Drosophila melanogaster: one gene and its partners. The protein of the gene in region 3 interacts with the protein of the main gene of each other region in a pairwise test. Each region holds a gene or a part of one and is shown on either strand. Other genes may lie near its edges.

Region 1 (5,137 bases), 2.0 Mb from region 3:
TCTGCACTCGGATTTTGAATCGGACTAGTGTGTTTTCCCTTTGGCTTTTGGTACTGTGTGCCTTGACGGCGGGCAAACAAATGAGAATGAGAATGAAAATGAAAATGGGCTGATGTACGAGCGTTTGGAGCCCGAACTTATGCAATTTCGCACAGGTGATGGTAACGACGACTCGACATTTGACTTTGGATGGCTGGCGGAATTTTCTAATTTTGCCACACTGCGCTACAAAATCCGTTGGATAACTGCCAGGTGGTGCTGATGGTGGTAGCGATGGTAGTGGTGGTGCTGCTGCTGAAAGAGCAGCAAAACCAAATGGAAATAAAATCCCAACACACCCATTGTGACGCCAGACGTTTGTTTTGCTTTTCTTCCTCTTTCGGCGCTGAATGTCATTATCAAGGTTTATTTGGCACTCTGTTTTTCCCGCCTTTTTTTTTTTTTTTTGGTTGCGATTGTGAATGAAAAGCGTAGAAGTGAGTGGGCGGGTTTGTTTTTGGGGGAAATATTGAGATAGGGCCAAATCGGATCGCGTACCGGCTTAAATCGGCGGTAAATCAATCTCGGAATTGCTGTGTGCCAAATAAAAAGTAGAAGGAAAAAGGGAAAACGTTGAGACCATAAATTAAAGAAGACAAAGGATGAGATGTAAACTGCATTATGTCAACGGTGGGCAAAGACTTATTTGTTTCAGACAAATACTAGATTATTTATTGCACAGCTTGTGTTCATTACCTTTGGCATGCAAAAAAGCATAAGATAGTCATGCAATCATTTTTGCATATATCTTTAGTCATTAAATTTTAAACTTAGTTTTGTCGCAACTCTTTATATATGTATGCTTATATGTGTTCTCAAGTGCTTCTAATAAAACTAATGGTTCCCTAGCGACAAAGCCGCAAAGCAAGCATTTAAGTTTTTCGATTGAAGCCAGAAGCAAACATATGTATGTATGTATGTACGTATATTTGTAGCTTTATATTCCTTTGTTGCAAAATTTGCGATACCCAAGTGTAAACAAAGAACCCAAAATTAGAATGAAAATCCCACTTTGATCTAAATCAAGAGCAGAGGTAAATATTTTCATAGACGCCCAAACTTACCGGCGACTCTCTGTGAAGATATTGTACATACATATAAGCACTTAGAAGCCCTTAAGATAGAAGTTTTTCAAAGTAAACAAACCGTTTCCTGTGCACTAAGAACTTGCACCACTGTGGTACAGTGAATCAAAACCATAAATTGTTCAATTTGATTAGGTGTGCAAGTGCGAGCAGGAGAAAGAGAGTAGGCGAGAGAGAGAGAGAGAGAGAGAGAGATGACGAGTGCGTGTGGATGGCCGGCAATCAAAGTGAATCATCACTTAACAAATGAGGAAGACAAAGCAAACAAACAAATGGATAACGGATAAACAGATGCAGAAGAGGTGAAGTGTGTGAAGGTCCAAGTGGGAGGGGCGGGAGAGAACAAAGGAGGCGAGGCAGTGAGTGAAATGCAGTGAGATAACACACACACACACACAACAGCGCACACAGTCAAACAATTAGTGGGCGTGTGCAATTAGCAACAAAAGCATAAAACTAAGAACAAGTGCAGTTAATCGCAAGAGTTGCGCGATGCAAAAGGGAAAATCGAGAAAATCACGCAGAAGGCTCTTTAAATCCCATAAATAGCCACTTATGCAGCTGAAAACTAAGAAGAGACGACAAATTGCGAAATAACTCACCTGCAACACCTGCTTCCAAACCAAACAAATCGTCCTGCAGCTCTAATTGATCCATTGCAATCGAATACAATCCGTAATTAAAAATTGATGGCTAAAAACAATACGCGTCTGCAAAAGTTGCAGCTGCGGCCATTTTTTGCTTGCCCAGCCTGGAATTCCAGCTTTTAATCACGTTTCACTTTTTAAACACTCAAAGAACACTTCTATCATTCTTTGACACAAATGCACACGAAAAAAACACTATTTCCAATTTGATTTAGCCAATTTTAGGAACGTTTTTTACTGCAAATGTTGGACGAAAATTTACGCGTAGCGAAGAAGCAGAAAATTATAAAGCAGCTGATTTTTGTTTTGACCAGGGCTACGTTAGAAACTTGCCAATCGATAGGCGATTGTACGTTACGTTTTTCATTACGTTGCACTATCGGCGCTCAGCTGTTTTGCCCCGGCAATGACGTCACGCGTGAACACTCAATTTCTTGTATTTTGATTGGTATTATCAAATTAGTATATCGCATTTATCTGCAAATACTTGACTAAACATAAATAAACGCGCACTAATCAGGGCGCGACCATGTCGCCGGCGATTGCAACGTGTGCTTAAAGGCCTAACACAATGGCCTAAAACAATCAGAAGTCGGCGAGGCGCAAAGAAGCAAAAAAGGAAGAATCGCTTGGAAAGTTTATAACTAAAAGTAAGTAAAAGGAATTAACAGTATTAATTTGACAAATGAAGCTGTTACCTGTATTAGTTGTGACTTTTAACTCTACTCTTTAGATATAGTTACAAATGCTTCCTAAATTGGAACGTACGCCAATTATATTGGCTTAACTACAACACTCATTAAATCTTTTTCAAGTGCCTGTCCTTTTAACACAAATGTAATTGCATTGAATATTTTAATATATGAAATTTACGAATCACACGAAAAACCCATAATTCCCAGTACTTTAAAATTAAAGAACTGTCTTAGTAAGATAACATTCATGGCCACGTCTTATGTATAGCTCTTACTATCTTAAACAAAAGATTTAGTATCTGTGTTTAAATACCTCGCTGAATTATACGTAAACAAACCAGTTCTCCATAAGAAAATTCATAGTAATCCTCACACGCCACCATTGCAGATATCAAAATGGAAGTGCCAGTACATCCACTTAGCCAGGATCCCACGGCCGCTTGGAGGGAGATTAGCAAAACGCAGCGCGTGATCAAGGTGACAATGAAGCCACCGACCACCACGGTGGCGCCCAACAAGGCACGAGTGGTTTGCATGTCCGACACGCACTCCCTGACGCCCTACATCAAGTTCGATATACCAGATGGCGATATATTCATACATGCCGGCGATTTTACCAAGTGCGGCCAACTGGAGGAGGTGGAGGAGTTTAACACCTGGATTGGAGCACTGCCCCATCGCCACAAGATCGTGATTGCTGGCAATCATGAGCTCAGCTTCGATAGAACCTTCACCCATCCTTTCCAGAAGAGCAAAAGTCATGCTTCGAGCAGCAAACACACCGGCATGTCCATCCTCGATGATCTGCCCACTTTGGGCAACGCCAAGGAGAACTTGGAGAGCGCTGTGCAAACGCAGAATGTCCGCGATGTTCTGACCAACTGTCGGTATTTGGAGGATGAACTACTTGAGATTTGGGGTATTCAAATATATGGCTCGCCATGGCAACCGGAATTCTGTCGCTGGGCCTTTAATGTTCCACGTGGAACTGCCTGTTTGGATAAGTGGAATCAAATCCCGGAAGGCATCGATATCCTGGTCACCCACACGCCGCCCGTGGGTCACGGCGATCTCTGCTGTTCCGGCGTACGAGCCGGTTGTGTGGAGCTACTCAGCACAGTGCAGCAACGAGTGCGCCCGAAATACCATGTCTTCGGACATGTACACGAAGGCTACGGCATCACCAGCGATGGCAGGATCATCTTTGTGAATGCCTCAACGTGTGACATCAACTACCTACCCAACAATGCCCCCATCGTTTTCGATGTGACGCTGCCCCCCGGATTTCGCAAGGATTAGCATGCCTAGATGATTATTTATTGTGTCACAGGTTCAATGAATTTATTTTCGTCCCACTTTATGTTTATGTTAAGGTATTTCGTCTGTAAAGATTTTGAAGCACAATTGTAGGTGTCTAGAGAGATAGAATTCAATTCGCACGAAATTAAAAAAAGAAATTCACACTTAAGATGCCATAAAATATTTATTCAAGTAGAGTGCATTTGTCAATATATGAATTTGTAAAAATAAACAAGTTTTGAAGACACCTAAACTTTTGAAGATTTTCAATATGATATTATATAGTTTTTAATAATAATTTAAGTAAAGGTAAAGCAAATCCTGAGATACATACATACTATTTCAAATTAGTATCGATAAGCCGCCAGAAATGGGTTGGAAAAACCTTGGAATGATTATTGGTTAGCAGCCCTGTCTCCCAATTTGACATTCCTCTTTGGCGCTCTGTAACGGCGCTTTTCCAGTGACTCCCCAATCAGCGAACCAACTAACCTGAGGCTGCACTTTTCGCGTGGCGACCAAAAAAATTATAAAAAAAAGGTCCCGCATTAGATTTTAATTTGTATACACCCAATTTTAGTCCAGCAAAAAAAAACTAATAAAATGGTGAGAAGAAGAAAAACTAATTAGTTTAAGAATTGCTGAAAGCGGGAAGTGAAATTTAAAATCAGAAAAGATGTGTAAGAAGATGTGAAATGAAAAGGTGTGGGAAGTGAACATGAATAAATGTTCATTGAAAATGAACAGCTAATTGCGAATTTTTTGAAACTTAACTGTTAACTGTTACTGCTCACAAATCCTTGAAAAATATTAAGATCTTAGAATTGTTTATTTAAAATGAATTCCTCGTATGTATTATAACAGACAATCAAGTTTATTAAAGAATATTTAAACTTGTATTTTTTTTTGAGTTTGATAAAATGTCCCAATTATAAAAGAGTATTACCTTTTCGTCATATAATACTGTTCTTAATATTAGTTTTAGTTAGTAATGTGTTTGTAAAGTAAATTACAAAGGGAGGACCTAACCTAACCTTAAACAATGGCGCCTTCTCTTGCCCAGCTCACCACTTTTATTGTTTCACCCGCCAGCGCGAAGTAGTCTCCATCCAGATTGGCCAGTGCGGCATCCAGATCGGCAATGCCTGCTGGGAGCTGTACCTGCTGGAGCACGGCATCAACCTGGACGGCAGCCTGAAGACCAAGGAGGAGCTGACGGCCAGCGGGAGCAGTGCCAGTGTGGGTCACGACACCTCGGCCAACGATGCTAGGACCTTCTTCACGGAGACCGGCAATGGAAAACAAGTGCCACGCTCGATTTTCGTCGATCTGGAACCGACGGTCATCGATGATGTTCGGAATGGCTGCATGA
Region 2 (8,708 bases), on a different chromosome or scaffold from region 3:
GCTTTATGCAAATCGCTGCGATGCGGTGACGCATATTTGGATGGATAACTTGGAAAACTGTCAACCGAGCACTTGAGCTTGGCTTTCATGCTTGAGGGGAACACGTAATCCCAAGGTCTCGAGTTCTTGTTTAATGCCAATGGTAATGAGCCGCGCTCGACTGGATCGGTTCTCCGGATACCGCTGGCCAAAAGAGAAAACCCCCTTCTTGCCGCACGTGATCAGTGGATCAGATCTTGGATCTCGCATCTCAGAACTGCGATCTCCGATCATCGATGGGGTTCGGGTTTGGAACTAGTGTGTTCGATTCGCTGGGCCAGTGACGTTGTTGGCCAAGTGGCATTAGTTTGTCGATTTCAAGACCCGTCTTGGCCGTGTCAATGGCCAACCGGTTGCTTCGGCAGACTGCCGTGCTGCTGCTGCTGGCTGATTTATTCAATTGGCTAACATTTAGCCAAATTGCCCGTCAACACCCCCGAATTAAAAAAAGAATAAAAATAGAGAAGAAAAAACGGGCTCAGAACGCGCGATTCATTTGGACTCTTTGTTTGGCTTGGCATTTTCTTGCGTATTTTTAGCCAGAACCAAGCCATTTTGACCATAATATTTGTACAATAAATTTCATTTAATTAGTTTTTTGGCTCGCAGCCGGTTTGAAACGCAATAAGATTAATCGCCAGCGCCGATAAGCGCCTTCGTCACAGGCCGACAAAATGTCAGAGAGTGAAAAACAAAATATAAATGCTTATCAGCGACTTGCGTCTATTTGCCGATCGGTGAATTTCAGATTCGACCGGATCCTAACGGTATACCATATAATACCATTATTCCGGCAACGTTCCAGACACACAAACTAATGCAAATTAAATGGCTAATCCGTTGGCAGCTTCCTCGGAAATTATTAGTTGTCAGGCGGTTGAAAGACAAAGCCGATTATGATACCCAGAAATCCTGATAGCACACTCATTCATTATTCATTCATGAAAAGTTTTTTCTGTGAAATCAGTTTGGCTTGGAATCGGAAATGCATATGTTCTAATTGGGTGAGGTATGCTACACGGCTGGGCGTTGACTTCCGCGAAGGAATACGACTCATCCAGGTGCTAAGTGGGCCAAGATGGGCTGCAGCAATTGAATCACAAATGCCAATCGCCGACTGGCGCCCACCAAAGGTGAGAAAGGTGGGCACGTTCCGGCTGTCTGGGAAAGTGATATTTTCATTTCCCAACAAAACACATCCATCCTGACCAATCGCATTCGCATTCGCATTCGCTGTTTGCCCTTTCACTTTGAGCCGGAAAGGCGTACGTCATGCATAATTTAGGTGCCTGATACCCGCTGGTGGTAATTAGCACTCGGCTGACTTCGTCACTGTGCTCTAATTTGATTTCGTTACTAATTAATCGCGCTTTTTCCCCAAAAAAAAACATGGAAATTTTCGCCAATCCAATGGGTAACATTTGTGATAGGCGGTTTGTTAAATGCGTTTATTGGTTTCACAATGTATTTGCAACATTGTTTTTAAATTTACGCGCCCCACTGCGAATGCCTTGATTCGATTTCGAAATTGGCAGTGCGGCCAGATCGTTGGAAATCGGTAAGCAAGCTTTCACTCAAAAAAATGTTGAGCGACTTTTGGCATTCAACTCATGTCAATAAATTATACATTCAACGAGTGACTTTATCGCCGGATTGAGTTACAAATTGAATTATGCCGCCAATCTAGATCATTAAGACATTTTATTCCAGAATTTTGTATTATTTTGCAGGGTTATAAAAATTTAAGTTTACCAAATCCTAAAAATGCTAAAAGTCAATGACACACATGTTTGGAGTTAACTAATTATGGCCGACCAATTGTAGTTGACCACGACAGTTTTAAAATTTTCACATTTTATCGTATGTAATAAAAATTTTTTTCAAATATTATTTTCATTATGTTTATTATTATTTATTTATTTGTAATTTATATATGTTACATATATAAATGCCTGAAATTCACATTGCAAAAAAAATAAATTTGGGCATTATTACAAGTTGAAAATATCAAATTCCCAGAAATCAATAACATTAGTATAACACAATAACACTTACGTTATCGAATTGGAATAACATTCAATAACGATCGCTGGCAGCAATTTCGAAATTAACCGTTTAACCGATTGGACGTATACAGCACAATGTTAGCGGCCGTCTGTTTGCTAACAGCGGGCGATAACAGGCGAAGAGAAGCCACTGTTAAGTAGACCATCTAAAACAGTTTCCAGAGCTGTGCCAACAACAAAACACAAAATCACTCAACTCTTACGAATATTGGTAAAAATTTATAAGACGTTTTAAAAACTTAATTAAAGTGCGACTGCCGGCAACTGAACCGTGTTCGCACCGAAAATTCGCGTCGCGTTGCTCCTATCGTGCGGTTCTAGCTGGATTATCAACAAATGCCAAAATTTCGTCAAAGCGAATAAAAATCATATATGTATACATAATACCTGCGCCTGTGTGTGTGTACCACTCGGTGTGTGCGTTTGTGTTTGTGTATGTGTGTGTGTGTAAGACCGATCTCTCAAGCGAAATCACTTAGCGGCGTTGTGTGTGTGTTCGAGTCTTCGCAAATAAAAACCACATTTTCTTAATATTTAACTAATATTTCGCACAACGGTTGAAAGAAAAACGACAACATTGGCATTGAAGTTCACCGAAAAAAAAGTAAAGTGAAGCCGAAATTTCCTTATCAGTAGAGCGCAAATGGTGAGCGAGAGAGGGATGACGAGGGAGAGAGAGGGGGCGAAAACTGGTGCAACAATAACTATGTATTTTAGACCCAAATATACAGCTCGTAATACCTCGTAATACCTTTCACAATTCTGGACACTCTCTTTCTACCCAGTTTTGTGACTGTGTCGCTTATTATTGTTGTTTCGCTTGTCTCGCGATTAGAATTAATTGACAAATGCCAGCAACAAAATACATTGTATTCGGGTTCTTTTTTGCGGTATATGTATATTTTTCGGGCAAAAAAAATGCACTGACAGAAAAGTGGTAGCACTTTAGATAGGAGAGAATAGTGGACACACGCCAACTAACGCGACAGTAGATAACCAGTACAGCGTTCACAGTCAAGCTCGAATAAGAGCAACAGGATGCACGAACGAAGCCGCAAAACGGAGACGGCGAGCAGCGTCACTGAATAACATGAATAAGTCATAACTAGTGTTGGCCTTTGCCGTTCTGCGATTGGTTAGACATAAAAACGGAGTATGTACGAAAACATTAAACGCGGTTCAACGACCGCCGCCATCTACATACATACATACATATGTAGTTGTCCATGTATATGTTTCGGTTTTCGGTTCTCGGAGATAGAAAAGCATAGCGGAGCATATAGCCAGACTTCTTCCATTAGCGCACCTGTCACACCAGTCTTTATCGCCAGTTTTGGGGTTATCTAGAAAAGGCAACAGGTATGAAATCAGGTAAGGCCCTCCCTCTCTCTCTCACGCACTCGCACTCTCCCTCTCACGCTACGATCTGTGTGAACTATCGCGTGGGGACACAAGGACATATCGATACGTGACATGCAGACGATCGATAACCAAAAAAAAAACACCCCTTCACTTCCAGCTGGTGCAACTAACGGTTTCGATTACCCGGAATATTAGAGGAATACGCAAATAACCGTAAAATCCAGCTAAATGTCATATGTACGCCAGCTGAAGCGGCAGAAAATGTCCCAGGCGAAGAAGTTCGGCGATGGCGATCCGTTCAACTACCAGGAGCTCAACATCATCGGCGAAGGTGAGCGACTTGGGTGGGATTTAATAATGGGACGCGGTTGCTTTGTTGTTGGGATAGGTCCGGCTCTCTTCGCACGAGAGGCTTTCGTTTGCTGGTCGCTTGTTGTTAACGTTTGATTACTTTAATTTGCTTACAAAGTCTGGGCTATTTGGTTTCACTACTGTTTACGATCAATCGGGAGCTCCGACATTGTTATGAAGCTGAAATGACAAGTGCACTTGGAGGAATGTTGTTGTTTTTTTACCCCTTTACTAATTAAGCGTGGAAATTCCGCGAAAAGGGGAAATATTGGATGGAAAACTCCCCTGTATTGGATCCTACACCTTCTACCTGCATACTTTTAGGTCCACTCTCGGCGGACTACGTGTTTCTGCCGATCTCACATCCATGATGATCTGACAAGTGGCTCATGGTCTTTTTTTTTTGTGGTCAGTAATTACGATCGCTTGTTTGCTGTAAATAAAGCCCAAATCAATTACGTCACCGATCATGCCGATCATCATGGGCAGGCGAATGCTAATGATGGATATTGTTACTGGGTGTTGTGCGAGTCATGGGTCCGCACAATTTCATCTGTTATACAACGCACACACACACACATACACTCAAACTTTCGGCTGTCTGCCTTTCTGTGCACATTCATTCAATTATTATTCGCTTTCGCTCAGTCTCATTTTTGCTACTTTGTACTATGGAAAATTTGACCACTTTTTGTGGCCAAACTAACTCCAAACTTTTTTTGCATTGCCTTACACTAGCCCATATTTTTAATGATATATAATATATATTTTTTAGTTTGCAGATAGTCATTCAATTAACTTTTTTGCATTGCCTAACAGTAGTCACCGTTGTAACTAAATGCATGCATTTAATATTACATATATTAATCGGTTTTCGGCCAGATAAAGTGCGTAAATTTCCCATAGTGCTTTGCTTTGTTGTTTTCTTTGCGCAATTTTTCGAGTTTATTTTGCTTGTATATTTGTATATTTTTTTGACAATTCCAATTGGACAGACCAGTTGCCGACGTTCAAAAACGAGTCGAGCTCACGGCCTTGTACTTGAATGTAGCAACAGCGGCACAGTTCATAAGCCAGGTGGTCTAGAGACGGTGACAAAGGGACGGAAAACCAAATTCACCCCCCCCCCCCCTCAAGTTGCGTTTATTTCGGGTGTATCAGTACATATCTGCTGTTTCTGTATGTCAGTGTCAACCGAAATAGCCGGTGCCTTCTAGCTTTTCTACCCCCCACGCATGTCCGTCCGTCCGTCCGTTTGTCCATTTGTCCATTTGTCCGTACGGGTGATAAATTTTCGGTGACATTTCTCTGGCATGCCAGAATTTGATTCTGATTGGGAATTTTGCTCGTCTCTTGTCGTTTTTCTTTGCCCGTGAACATGTAGAAATTAAGATCACGTTGTACCTGAGACAGCAACAGTTTCATGAGGAAATTAGTCTGAATTTCGTGCAATATTTTGACTAATTTTGAGTGCATATAATATAGTCTCTAATATATGCAATTATTGCATGCATTGCAATACGATTCTTTTGGGCTAAATGCATTCATTGTCTATTCATTCAATCATTATAAACAGTTAGTTCATCGAACAAGGCAAATAAATCAAGTCACTTCAATCGTAAGGGCTATAAATACGATGTTGAATATGAAAAGTATAAATACACCATAATGATATGAAGAAGCTAAGTGGCACCTTCTCTCTTTCTCTCGCCTCTCTGATTTCTGCCATTTATCTTATCGGCACAGCTGACTTTATTTTATTCTATTTTCGGCTGTCTTTCGCATTTATTTCCCGTTGTAAGCATTTTGATGTACAATTTCGATCCACTTTTCAGGTGCCTATGGAACGGTTTACAGAGCCCGCGATGTGATCACCGGCAACATAGTGGCGCTGAAGAAGGTTAGGATATCGCTGAACGAGAACGGTGTGCCAATGTCCACGCTGCGGGAGATTTCGCTGCTGAAGCAGCTGAATGCCAGCAATCATGCGAATATTGTCAAGTGAGTATGGGTGATTTACACGCTGCCACAAGGGCAGTGGGCTTCTAAATGGCCTTGGAGTTGAGTACTTTATGTAGAACTATAGCTAGCTAGCTGTATATGAGGGGTGTTATCACCCGCCATTGGGGCCAAGTGGCGGCGCCAAAGCTATTTGCCAAACTCATTTGTAAAGAGCCGCATCGCAATGTCAGCGCGCTTGTGTTTATCTGTGCATGCTATAGCCGTAATATTCCGACGATTTGCCCCCGGCGAACGCCCTCGCTTCTGACATATGCCAGTCAAGTCAAGTAAGTCTGAAGCAAGTCGATCCGCTCCCGCTGATAACTGATCACTGCAGTTCGCAAATGTGGGCGATTTTGTATTGGCATTATGTTTGTTTGCGGCGGCCGTTAGGAATTTGAATTAACAGAGCAGCTCGATAACCACATGTTGCTGTCGCGCGTTATCGATGTGCGCACTCGCTTGCACTTTAGCAGCGTGAGAGCGCGACGCGAATACAGTACAAAGAGATCGACAGAGAGAGAGAGAGAGAGAGAGATCTCGCACAACAGAATGTTAAGTTAAGTTGCAAATGGCTACAAAGTGCAGCTGTTATTTTGTTTGAAGCCAAAAGTGTTGGAGGGGTACAAGAAATAAATCAATGGCAAATTAAGTTTCTTGTATTTATCTGTATTTTTAAAAACCCAATGTGCCAGTTGCTAAAGCAAGTGTAACAGTAGAAGGTTTCAATAAAACTGTGCCTTTTAAGTAATTCAAAGGCAATGTTAAAATAACTGCCCGAACTGATTCTAACATAATGCTAACATAACATAATGCTAATCTGCTCTGCTAACGTTTACGTTTTGCCTCTGTCCGAAAACGATCTGTAGCCTCTCTTACTGGACGCTCTCTTTGGCTCTTTGATCGCCATGTGCGCATGTGTTTGTCTCGAGTGCTTCGCGTAGTTCCCGAAACGAACAAAGTATGGCCAATGGCGTATTGGCGCACCACAACCAGCAGCATTTTATGACACATTTTTTTTATATCTCTCAACATTTCCCCCATACATCGCTCTCTGTCGCACACAAAATCAAACAATTTGTACATACAAAGATTGCACTTCCCCTCTCTTTCAGACTGTACGAAGTATGCCAGTTTCTGGAGCGCGACGGCCAATTGCTGATTCTGTTGGTTTTCGAACATGTGGAGCAGGATCTTTCGGATCTTATAGACAGACTTCCCAAATCGGGCATGTCGCCGCCCACAATTCAGGTGGGTCTCAAAATGATATCAAAATTTCAGAAAATGGTATATGAAATTATTTCCTATTGCAGCGCTTGTCAAGGGAACTACTGACCGGTGTGGACTTCTTACACTCACACCGTATCATCCATCGGGATCTTAAGCCGCAAAACCTGCTGGTCTCCTCGCAGGGCCACCTCAAGATCGCCGACTTTGGCTTGGCCAAGACCTACGGTTCGGAGATGAAGCTCACCTCCGTGGTGGTCACCTTGTGGTACCGCGCACCCGAGGTTCTGCTCGCCCAGCCCTACAACAGCACCGTGGACATCTGGAGTGCCGCCTGCATCATCTTCGAGATGTTCAATCGGCGCGCCCTATTCCCGGGCACCTCCGAAAAGAATCAGCTGGACCGCATCTTCGAGTGAGTGCACAAATACTGCCATTGAAATCGGTGATTTTTAATTACATTTATGCGATTTCACGCAGACTGACCGGTAGACCCACCGAGCAACAGTGGCCACAGACCATTTCCGTGGCCCTGGAACACTTTCCCCAGCGGCATCCAAAGAGACCAAAAGACTTTTGCCCACACCTGTGCAAGTACGCCGATGATCTGTTGAATGTGAGTATGAAAATGAAGATACATATCTTGTTGCATGGTCTAGACTAACGCATACCCTATGTTTGCCCGCAGAAAATGCTTTCCTACGACCTCCACCTGCGACCATCCGCCTTGGCCTGTTTGGAGCACGATTACTTTCAGCAGGAACCCCTATAGTCTCGATGCCCAGAAGGATAATGGATAATGGATTATGGATTATGGATTATGGATTATGGATGTGGAAGTGAAAGTGGCAGTGGACTGATCATTGCGGCCGCGCTTCGTTCTTGTTACCAATGTTCCTTTAAGTGTAGTGAAGCATTTTGTTTATTTTTTCGCGACAGTCCAGTTATTGTGTCCGGGGATACGGATCCGGAATAAAGAATACCTTAATTTGTTTGTAGTCGTAAGTTAAGTGTGAATACTACTGCCGATCAACTATCTGATGACCATTACATGTGAAACGATTCTCGAGGGCGTTTGAAGGCCCTCCAAATCGAAATGTGATACACAAAGTTCAGGAATGCATTATACAATTTCAAAATTTTGTACAACAATCATTTATATATGCAATTATATATACAGCATACAATAAGATGGGTCTCATGTCTTTTCTGCAATTTATTTCAAGTGGGGGTGCAACTTAAATTTAAAGTGTTTTTGAAGAATAATAAATATCTCATATTAAACATATTTTCGAAAAAAATTTATTTTTTATACAGCTTTTTCGAGTTTTATTACAGTTTTATATTTATGTGTACAAATAACAGTTAAGTTCTGCTGTTAAAACGATGGTCATGTTAATCATCGATAGCCAGCTGTTAACTTTTACGCATCCCTAGTTCCTTCTCTTAGCTTACGATCACTCTCATTTTGCTCTCTTTCCAGCACTTAACAGTATGTTAGACCTCGCCTAACAGAACCGTTTCAAATGGTGTGACCGCCTACTGCAAGAGCAAAGTGCTTCCCACTATTACGATAGCCAAGTTTGAAACCCAGTGTTGCAACTGATAACATTTCCATGCTGTAAGAAAGGTCATATTATTAAGCTAATATAAATACTTTTT
Region 3 (6,224 bases):
AAGTAGAAATATTGGATCCTCTTAACCCGCAGTCAAATGCCAAGGATCATGTGGAGATAATCGATTCGGAAGGCGACAGTTATGTGAAGCACTTGGAGCTCGAAATGTAAGACTTTAATACATGTTATGTGACATTTGATAAGTCATAAATTTCTTATTCGTCCTTAGATGCTCCTTAAAGCGTGAGGTATTTTTCCTCAAAGACGAATACCAGAAGATAAAGGCTGAAATGCGTAATCTCAAGGACACAATAAAAAGATCAGAGGAAGAACTCGCAGAAAAACAACTCCAAGGTGTTGTTAAAAGCAGAAAAGTTGGTTTGAGGTTTTGGTTTGTTCCTTGAGTAACGTTTTTATTGTTTTAGAGGAAATCTCAGTTTTGAAAAAGACCAGATATCTACGTAAACATAAACGACTGACCAGTTATTAAAAGCTGACATCAAGCGTAATAATATATTATCAAATCAGTATCTGAATCCAACAGAATTAAAAATTATGAATTATGAAAAAAAATGTGTGTGTTTTCATATAAGCTAAAAATTTGTATTTAATCTGGTAGCTTAGGAAAGCCTTTTACTAAACATATGGAATACAGACGTCGAGTCTTGGGCAAAATCCTTCAACATTTTTGTCTACCTACTTACCCACACCTTTTTCCTTTCTCTCTATCGACTTGAGCACTTTCCACAAAATCAGCGGGTATTCAAAAATGTTTTGAAGGTGTTCGCGCTTATCTTTCCTGGAAATTTTTGGGTAATCGCGGTGTGGTAGTTTTTTTGCCAAGGTCGAAGTCATTACAGCAGGCAAAGGACTCTTATCCAGTTGAATTCACACTTTGTCTACCTGTAGGAGTATATAAACCAGTGGTCGTTTTGAAATCGACCTGCACTGCAAGCGATGTTCTCCGACCGACAACATCCATCGCGGACCGACGTCAGCTCCTGGCGGAGCTTCACGTATCCGGCGCTGGATCTCTGAAGAATCAAAGAACGAGAGCGACGTGGAACACCACACATCCTGGGAGCAACCATAAGGATCCAATCTTGAAGACCATGCAGTGTCAGCATATTAGCCGAATTTAGACAATTGTAAATTCTAGTTAATTGTATAGATCAATTGTACATTTTAGTTAATGTCACATTTCGATTGTATATATACATCATCAACACAATTGTATATACCTAGTTAGTTAGCCAATTTAGTCTAAGTAGTGCAATTGTACATATTTACCTTAGCCAATTTTTAGTCAATTCAATAGACCAAATGTATATACAAACAAACTATAGATAATTTAACAAATTTAGTAAAATTTTTAGTTCAAGTGTACATAATTTAGTAAATTTTTAAAATAAATTGTATATATTTTAAATATTTTTGATTTTTTTGCAATAGAGAATGAAATTTATAAGAACCAAAAAAGGAAATTTGCACAAATTGGGGGGTTCTTTGCACTGGACTATTTTCATAAAAGGTAACAAAAATTTGAAAAAGAAGCCGAAAATATTATTCAGATAAACATAATTTTAAGTATTCGAGAACATATGTCTCTAGAAAAATGATTTTATATTTATTAGTTTTTAATAAAATATTCCTAAAGAGCCTTTCAATATTGAAATATTCAGGTTTCGTTTTAAACATTATTTTAATGTTTAAAATTCTGTACATTGTTGCTGCTAATTAACAATTGCATCTCTGTTAGAAAAGTGTTTGCGAACATAAAAATTATGAACCTATCTGTGATGAACACAAAAGATGCCCTTAAAGTAAGAACTTAAAAACCAAATTTGTACTAACTAAATTAGTAGGTAATCAATATATTTGGGCAGGCGATCGTGGCTGATCGATTGAGATGGAGGGCTCCGTGGGCAGTTGGAAGCGAGCCGGTCAAATCGCTTATCCCTTCTTAAAGTCGAGAAGATCGTCCAGAGCCGCTGCCTTGCCGGAATCGTCCTTCTCCAATTCCGCTCGCGTGCATCTTCCACAACAGTCAGCCGAGGGCTTGTTCTCGCACTCTCCTATCGCTGGTGGCTTGAAGTTGGGAGTCCAGGGTCCCAGGCTGCCGCTAGCGTAGAAGTCCATGGGATAGGCGTTGTTGCGCGGCGACGAGTTGTGCGGCGTCCACTCGACATCGCCCAAAACCACGGACAGCTCGTAAGGATTCAGCAACGGTTGGCTAAATGCGGATCCCCAGTCGATTGAAAGTCGCGGACAAGCAATCTGCACAAAGGCGTCGATGTCGGCGAAAAGAGCCAATTTCTGTGGGAAGATCTCCGACAGCAATAATGTGGTAGTTTCAATACCCTTGGCATGAAGTCGCTTCTCCAAAAACCGATGCACTCTTGAACTGCCTTGTCTTCCGAGTGTTCCAAGTATGATGCCAATGCGGCGCGCCTTCTTAGCCCGCTGAACAGCGTCCAGGCGCAGATTCTGCATCGCCGAGTGATCGTACTGCTCTGTGGTGAACTTCTTTTCATAGGGATCGTACTTGTAAGCCTAAAATAAACATAAATATATTATATAAGTAAATGAAGAATTCGTTTTAAAACACACTGCATACCTTTAGCAACGGGTTTGCTATCATTGCGGATTCTAGATGAAAACGCCCGTCACCCAAATATATTATCATCTTCGTTGTCTCTGGCAGCTGAGGCGAAGTGCACCCAAGAATCTCTCCAGGACTAAGTGGCTTGGCCTGTGGTACTATCACATCATAGCCGGCTGCCTTTAGCTCAGTAGATGCAGCTTGCAGCGTTGTCACGAACTGTATTGTGCTTACTAAAGCTATTTGGCCCACTTCCGGGCGGAAGTTCAGCTTTACAGAGTCCAGGAAGTGCAGCGGATCGATTTTGATGTCTACAAAAATGTACAGCACCTTGATGCCACACGTCTGATCTACGGGAATGAGGCAGCTGTGGCCGTAGTGGACCAGCAGATCAGCTCCCAACGCCTTGGCAGTGTAGTCGTCCACGCAGCAAGCTCCGTAAGTCACATCGCCCATTATCACAGTATCTGCGCTGGTGAATCGCTCCACAATGTCGCTGATAACCATGGCGTACATCAGCAGGCCCTCCGGCAGTTGCAGGGCCACACGCTTGGCCTTCATCTCCCGTATGCGCCAAATCGTCTTGTGCATCTCGAAGTTGTAGTTCGAGGGCAGACGGTCGATGGCCTGCTGCAGCAGTGGATCATCGAGCAGCTCCTGGGGAATCCGATTGATGCGCGCCTTTGGCTTGAACACCTTCTTTGGTCTGGCTCGGACCACCACAATATCGGTGCTTTCGCTGGTCGGGAGGTTGCTGCTGGGTTGGATCACGTCCAACATGGTGCTGCAAGAACATAGAATAATGGGAATATTTGTAATCGTATTTTTTCAAACCTAATTGGTTTTAATCAATATGTTTTTTATTTAATTTTGTTGTTCCATTCGCCTGCTTAATCCACCTTAAACCACCTCAATGTATTTGTTAAAAAATATATTTTAAATACTATATAATTCCATTCATATATGAACTAGACACGTTAAGGTCAAGATTGTTTTGATTATTAGAAATTATGGAATCGTATTAAAATTTGTTTGTGCGGCGAACGGCTCACTAAATAAACAATAAACAAAGACACCACAGCGCATTGCTTGAACTGGATTTGGATGATGCGACTGGCGTACGTGACTGCTGCTGAATAGCATGGAATGGGAGGACGAGGTCCGGCCCCCTTCGATTGCAGCAAACCGGAAAAGCAAAACCCGAATTCTTATAATTAGCCCACGTCAGGTGGGTGAATCACTTAATGGGCAGCCCCACCTTGGGGAAACACTTTGGAACAGGCACTTTCAAATCGGAGCGCCATCAAGGTCTGAATTAACAATTGGCAATAAAATGGCAAAACAAACTGGCGTTCTACTTTATAGTAAATAGCGTAGTATGTAAACATATTTAGTTGTTGTTAATGGTGAAAGTAATATTGTTTAAAATATTGAAATTAATTTCGAACAATGCACAGACTGATTTAAAACTAGCACGAAAACTATTTAAACAGCAAATGTTTACCACTATGTTTAAACATAACTATAGCAACTTCACTGGTTGGCCTTTGTCTTACCCGTTGTATTTGTTTAGTTAAATAAACACTAATATTTAATAGTAGAACTCGGATCGTTCGATACCTTTATCAGTTGGACGTTAGACGCCGTCTGAGTTTCAGGGGTTGCGTTTGCCGTTTGGCTGCTGCACAAATTTTGGTCACTGAACTTTCCGTATGTGTTGCGCCATTGATAACTGTTTCTGAGTCACGTAGGCCGCACACCATGCAACACGCAACGGGTTACTTTGGCTACCTGATCCCCGCCAATTGCAGAACTTTGAATTTTTAGAAAGTACCTCGCTTGCAAGTAGCTGACATAAACTCTAGCGCTGGATTTGTTAATTCGCACTCGGAAACAACTATTATATCACTTGGCACAGATTATGGTTGGTCTTCGGCCCTTGAACTTGTAGCCAAGTGTATTTCTGGCACGTTACTCGCACAGCTGATGCGAAATTGTTGCTTCGCCGTTGCCGTTCTCAATAGCACCGTCTATTGATTTGTGTTTGAATATGCTTCTGTGTGTCTTATAAGTTACTTACAATTTTTGATCTTTAAGCGTGCTTTAAAAACGTTTTAGTTATTTCTTTCCAATCCCGCGTGCGAATGTCGAATGACAACAGCTGATTGAACCAATTGGCTCGTGAACTTGTGAGCCCCAGCTGGAACTGACTCCGAGATGAGCAAAGAACTAGAAGCAGTTTTATCCAACACTGAAACTAAAAAGTGTTGAAAAGCACACGACGTTTTAAATTTTACCTCTTATGCTGAATTAATTAGTTTTTTAAAAAGTGGTTACTATATTTTTATTTCCTATACAAATTCCCTTTAACTTGTACTTTAGATTTAACAAAAAAAGGACATAGTTCCGTTTGGGATTTACAGCTTCGAACTCTCCGCCTCGGACACATCAGCCTCCTCCGCATCCTCTGAAATGGAAGATTAAAGAACACAAATTAGTGGATACTCCCGTAATAGGGGTATACATTTCTAAACCGCCTTCGTTCACCTACGCTTTCCGCCTGGCAGCCGCCTTTGGCGTTCCTGTTCCACGGCCGCAAAGTATTCCGAGGCAGCTTGCTCGCAAGCTGCTTCAAACGGAGCCATGTTGATCTTTCCGTTGACCATCATTGTGTCCCCCTGATCCTGGCCATGGTTGGCCTTGACTTTCAGCTTGCTTTCCCGGGACTTGGCCTCCAGGATCTTCTCGCGACGGTTCTCGCGCTCGAACATCTGCATATGGAAAATGTGACTCAAGATTCTAGAATGCTGGATTCCCAATGGAGTCTTACGGCTGTTAGTAGGGGTTTGTCGTTCTTGGCTGACATGACCATGTTGTCGGAGACTTCGACGAGAAAAGTGGCTCCCAGCTGGCTGCCACAGCTCACGAATTTCCCGTTCTCGTTGGTCCGGACACAATAAAGAGGTTCATCGCACACCTTGACCGTGAGAACGGGCTCGTTCTGCTGCTGCAGCAGATCCCAGGTGTCCAAGACGCCATCCATGCGAGTGATAAAGAACTGGGAGACTCTAGAATTGATTATGTAGATTACGTTGAATAACCTTAGCTTGAATGAATACTCACTTCGTGTAACTCCAAGCGCCATCGGTCAGCATCGAGCTGCTGCTCTTGGTCCAGATGATGGAGCTCTCTCTGCAATCCTCCGACCAGATTCGGGCACACCAGTCGCCCACAGTTAGGAAATTCTTAACAAACGCCGGATTTCGGGTAATGGCATACACCGGGCCGAGGTGGCACATCATCTGCGGGATTGCAACACAATCAATAGGAAATGTCCTGTGATTAAAGCCAAAGAGCATACCCGTATCTGAATCTTCTCCGTGGGCGTCTTGCCCTTTCGATTGCAGGAGAAGAGCATGCCCATCTCAGTTCCCGCCATGAATCTTGTAGGTATGGTGGTCTCGTACTCTAGCACTGATATTCCATAGGATCTGGAGAGATCCTGATCGTCACTCTTCACCGGATCCATGAGCAGGCGGTCCAGCGGTTCGGTAAGCTTCCTGGTATCCCACCACAGCACCTGACCATCGGAACCGCCGGAGAAGAACTCTGTGCCACTCTTGGAATTGTTCCAAAGCACCGAGTTAACCGGATCCCGATGGCACACCTCCCGTTCGCTGATC
Region 4 (4,838 bases), on a different chromosome or scaffold from region 3:
ATTTCGTATTTTTTTTTTTATTCGGCATCTTATGTTTTATGGTTTAGGTTTTCGTTTTCATTTTGATTTTGATTTCGATTTGGATTTTGGATTTTGGTCAATTCAATTTGCATACACGGGCGTGCTGCAAAGCGGTTGCCTCACAAGGCGGCCGGCAGTCTGTCATAAACCAAAGCGAAAACCTAACCCAACCCAACCCAATCCAATCCAATCGAAACCAAACCAACCCATTCCATTTCACCTCATCCGGCAATTTCAAGGTGAATCTGAATCGGAATCTGTTGTCAAGCCGAACCATCTCATTGATGGTGGCTATATTCCATCTATATGCAGGTATTTATAAAACGAGCCGATTATTATGCAAGCCACCAGTCGCATCTTCGAGCCATGTAAAACGCATTATGTTGGCCCAATAGGCCAAAGATGTTGTAAAATTGGCCAACGGTTCGGATCAGTGATATCTGTTGGCGCATTTTAAATAGCCACTAAGTATTACATACTTACAACAATAAACATATGTTTATTTACACAAATATTCAACATAATCAACTGATGTGCATATATATATATATCCATTTAGAATCATATTTCTACTCAGTTTATAACAATTTTATAAAATACTATCAAATTGTTCAAATTGGTTATGCTTTTCGGTTAAGAAACGTATTAATTTATACCAAAAAAAAAAGAGATTTTCAGTGGGCAGATCAGATTGGTGGGAAATCAAGTAATATCCAAGAAATGGTTGGCTAACCTGCACTCTGCCACTAATCGTGATTATGATCTTGTCGCGGTCTATTATGGTTTGTTAATTGATCCATGCATGGAATGCATCTGTTGAGAAACTACATACATACATACATAAATATCTATATTAGTGCATCTGCAATCTCGAAACAAGTTTGGCTCAAATCTTCAGTTCAATATAACTTTTAACTTATATACATAAATATTTAAAACGATATATTTGAGTTTTGCTAGTATATATTTGTTCGTTCTATTCAAAGTTTATTTCACATCAAAAGTACATGTAGTGGTATCCTTTCTCGTGGCATCCATCTACTTCTGCTTCAACCATCCACCATAGGACTGCACCAGTGGAGCATCGTAGATGGGGGCCTGTCCAACGCGCACCACCGAGGGCACCACTGGAACGGACTCGACCACATTGACACGGCGAACCACCGGCACACGGCGGACCACAGGCACACTGCGCACCACCGGAACGGAGCGAATAACGGGCACGGAACGGACCACCGGAACGGAGGACACCGGCGAGTAGATGACACTGCACTGGGCGAGGGCCATGCAGGCGGCGATCAGGAAGGCGGCGATGAAGAACTGCAGGGATGTTAAGAATCGGAAATGGTCAGTTAAAAGCAAACACAAAATTGAGGATAGTTTAGATTAGAGGATCTAGCAAAAAGGAACTAAAAATGTCCACATATTTTATTGATATTATCTAACTATCTAAGTATCTAACTATGTAACTTTCTATGTATCTAACTATCTAAGTATCTTACTATCTTGCTATCTTGCTATCAAACGATTTAAGAATCTAACTATGTAACTACCTAACCTTCTAAGTATCTTGCAATCTAACAATCTATAAGATTTTTATATACATCTATAATATATTTATACTAAATTAACATTTGTTATACATTTTAAATGCACCTTTTGTGCACGTTCATAAAAAGTGTATAATTTATTTATTGCAACATTAAAATGTAAACAATTTAGGTGATTTTCAAATTAAAAGCCATTTTTATGGGCAACACATTAAAAAAATTTCAGACTGCAGACGATAAAAAAAACCAGAACACAATTAAGATCACTTTTTCTTCACAAATTTTGCTGATGCACACTGTTTTTTTTTTTTATTATTACTGTTTTTATAATTCAACATTCTACTTATTTTCACATAAAAAAAAAAACTTGAAACCTTGAACTTGTATTTGTATTTGTTTCGTTATCGTACATTCACAATTTGGTCAGCTATCCTTTGTTTCGTATCCTTGCGACCTTCAACTCACCTTCATGTTTCCAAACTTTGTTCTTTTTGAGTAAGTTGTGCTTGGAGGACTGGACAATTTGTGCTGATCTGTCGCCGGTTACGATGATCTTATATACCCGTAGTGTCAAGAATCTGAAAAGTGGAGCAATAAAACTGGCCAAAAAGAACGTATACGGATGCAAATTTTGTGCGGGGTTCGTTTAATTGTTTAGATATTGATTTTGGGATGCCATTATCATTGATATTTGCCAGATTTACCAGAGACGATCGAACAATGCGTGCCGAAGTCATAACTTATTTGAGACGCCTTTCAAATCGCCAAAACAATGAGGACGTTGTTCCTTTTGCGACAGGTGATCATCTCACCTGGCGAATTTCCGCACCTTTGATGAATTCTTGTGCAAATTGCTTCATTGCTTCATAAACTTTGTGCTGGGTTTACTGTCTTCGTTTTTTTTTTGGCTTTTTCTATTTTTGGCTAAACTCAATTTATGAGCCCATTGTCCACGCCCATTATGATTTTCGGTTCACCGAAAATAATGCAAATTTATGCAAATTTCAGTGAAGCTTCCTCAACACAAATAGCGCAAAAACACAAAAATTGTTTGCTTTTGGTTTTCTCATACAAAATATTTTGGCAATGTGAAAAGTAACATTATTAGTTTTTAATTATGCTATAATCTTTTACACAACTAATCTCTCTTTAATTTCGCTGTTTAATTGCCCTAATGCTTTTGAGCGAATTTCTTTTGATGTTCGAGAGTCTTTTGGTAGTTTACCTTTTTTGTTTAATAAACATTTATGTAAATCTATTGTTTAAGGCCACTTTCTCCCAGAAAAATAAATATCATACGAAAAATGGAAAACAATGAAGGGCTTTTGTTTAAGTTTCATTCATAGATAATTAGATGCAAAGCATATTATTAATATATTTAAATGTGTTTAAATTTTATAACTGTTATAAATTTGCTTAGCATTAATCAACACTTGCAATATCGATTGTCGATAGGCGCCGATAGTCCCGCCCAAGTACTAAAAAACACAGCTGTTTACATCGCTCCATCTCGCTCGCTCGCTTTTCGCTGTGGATTTCTATTTTTTTTTTTTATTGTATTAAACAAATCGCAAAAATAGGTCTTTAATGGCGGTGTAATCGAATCGTAGTTGTAAACAAAAACAAATAAAAGGGGCGGGAAGTGCGAGACAACATAAACATTTGGGGAACTTCGCATTTTGCAACATGAGAGCGGTCAATTAGCAAGTCAACAACAACAACAACAACATGGCGCACCTGCACCTAAATTCTTCATGTTGACGTCAACAAAGTGAAATCCGATCAAGAAATCGTAGCGATCGCAGAGAAGGGACCGCCATACGGATTATCGGGTGAATAGGAAGCATCGAGGAGGAGGAGGATTACCACGATCCCCAGGATCATCAGGAGCAGCAGAGTCCCCAGGATCCCTAGAGTCCTTGGACTCCTCACCACACCAGGATGTACTCCGAGTGGGCCTCGCTGTCTGCCCAAATCACAGCCAACAGCTGCGGCGCCCAGTGCTTCAGTGTGCTCAACAAATTCCCCGCCTCCGCCGGACGCGAAGTGGTCGTCTCCGTGGTCAAGCAGCTGGGCACCAATCTGGGCATCACGCAGAATGCAGAGCCCAGTCACCTGGTCAAAGACGAAGAGGTGGGTCATCGTAGCTGTCCCACACGGGATGGTTTACTATAAAGCAGGCTACTCGTGTAGAAAGCTGTAAAGATAATTGTTAGATAAATGTTTTATTACAATTACTTCTATATTATATACTATAGTCAATACTATATATTATATGGTCAGGAAGGGATTTTAGATTTCAGGAAATCTGCTTATTTTTTATGAGAAGCAAAGTAGTATCCTTAAAATGCCTAAAACGAAATAGTATATCTTATATCAAATTGAATCTTAAACCGGAAGTTAAACTTTCTTCATACAATTTTCTTAACTTTAAGACTTGCAAAAACATTGCTTACACACATGTCCAACAAAGCATTAGTTTAATGAGTGAAATAATGTATTAGTAATGTTCTGGAAAAGCTTCCATTAAATCCATAAAATTGTGCATGTAATTGCCAAATGAATGAATGCAAACTCAATTTATATTACCTCAATCTGGAAACGAAATATAATTGTTGTTTGTTGGTTTAATGTAGAATTGCTATTTATAGAATGCTTGGAATGTTCTCATAGAAAAATACGAGTTTTCCTTGGAATGGAAAATGTTGAAACTTAGATAACTCAGATTACTTACAATAACTCGATTCGATTCTAGGTAAAATGGTGCATGGACGTGATCTGCTTCGGACTTTCGCTTCCTCTGCAGGAACACGAGACGATCAAGGATTGCGTGAATGTGTACTGCGAGTGGCTGACGGCGCTGCATCCGCAGCCCAGGATCAGTGTACCGAAGCCGATATGCGAGGATGCCAATCTCTATGCTCGCCAGATCATCAATCACTTTCACAATCTGTTTGTGCCGCGCCAGGGCGAAAGTAAGTAGATGACCACCAGGCCCATGGATTTTATGATTTATATATGCTGTCCCTTAACCCCGCTCTAAATTTCAAGTCTTGCCATTTCTATACCAAACCACGCTTGGTAGGTTGCTCATGCTCTTTACATATACACACGTACATAGGTTGCTCTTGGGAAAAATAATGTCTAAGCTGTGAAAATGCTATTAATTCTTTGACAATATTTGTCCTACGAGTAGAGGACTAGAATCCATTCGAATATTAAAGGCCACAACTAATACTTACACTTAATGGCTTTCAGGTGCAGATA

Evidence for each region.
Region 1: the proteins of Dph1 (region 3) and CG16717 interact in a two-hybrid assay, tested with the Drosophila melanogaster proteins (one large-scale study listed by BioGRID).
Region 2: the proteins of Dph1 (region 3) and Cdk4 interact in a two-hybrid assay, tested with the Drosophila melanogaster proteins (one large-scale study listed by BioGRID).
Region 4: the proteins of Dph1 (region 3) and CG15308 interact in a two-hybrid assay, tested with the Drosophila melanogaster proteins (one large-scale study listed by BioGRID).

Annotation. Positions count from the first base shown.
Region 1 is NT_037436.4:9,677,046-9,682,182, forward strand, and holds CG16717 (uncharacterized protein), read left to right. Parts: upstream 1-2,155; 5' UTR 2,156-2,421; intron 2,422-2,854; 5' UTR 2,855-2,862; coding exon 2,863-3,765; 3' UTR 3,766-4,015; downstream 4,016-5,137. Other genes in the region: fry (furry), read right to left, coding at 1,727-1,781; alphaTub67C (alpha-Tubulin at 67C), read left to right, coding at 4,369-4,371, 4,858-5,137.
Region 2 is NT_033778.4:16,577,218-16,585,925, forward strand, and holds Cdk4 (Cyclin-dependent kinase 4), read left to right. Parts: upstream 1-2,252; 5' UTR 2,253-2,316; intron 2,317-2,346; exon of another isoform or gene 2,347-2,709; intron 2,710-2,888; exon of another isoform or gene 2,889-3,476; intron 3,477-3,615; exon of another isoform or gene 3,616-3,624; 5' UTR 3,625-3,695; coding exon 3,696-3,798; intron 3,799-4,778; exon of another isoform or gene 4,779-5,653; coding exon 5,654-5,819; exon of another isoform or gene 5,820-6,152; intron 6,153-6,934; coding exon 6,935-7,070; intron 7,071-7,132; coding exon 7,133-7,461; intron 7,462-7,526; coding exon 7,527-7,662; intron 7,663-7,734; coding exon 7,735-7,818; 3' UTR 7,819-8,231; downstream 8,232-8,708.
Region 3 is NT_037436.4:11,692,254-11,698,477, forward strand, and holds Dph1 (diphthamide biosynthesis 1), read right to left. Parts: upstream 4,711-6,224; 5' UTR 4,622-4,710; intron 4,246-4,621; exon of another isoform or gene 4,098-4,245; intron 3,326-4,097; 5' UTR 3,322-3,325; coding exon 2,557-3,321; intron 2,493-2,556; coding exon 1,893-2,492; 3' UTR 1,626-1,892; downstream 1-1,625. Other genes in the region: CG14135 (uncharacterized protein), read left to right, coding at 1-106, 169-343; Dnai2 (dynein, axonemal, intermediate chain 2), read right to left, coding at 4,959-5,008, 5,093-5,312, 5,372-5,609, 5,665-5,843, 5,903-6,224.
Region 4 is NC_004354.4:10,217,037-10,221,874, forward strand, and holds CG15308 (uncharacterized protein), read right to left. Parts: upstream 2,104-4,838; 5' UTR 2,043-2,103; coding exon 2,037-2,042; exon of another isoform or gene 1,701-2,036; intron 1,368-1,700; exon of another isoform or gene 1,342-1,367; coding exon 1,060-1,341; 3' UTR 877-1,059; downstream 1-876. Other genes in the region: CG34408 (uncharacterized protein), read left to right, coding at 3,513-3,704, 4,327-4,546, 4,623-4,652, 4,830-4,838.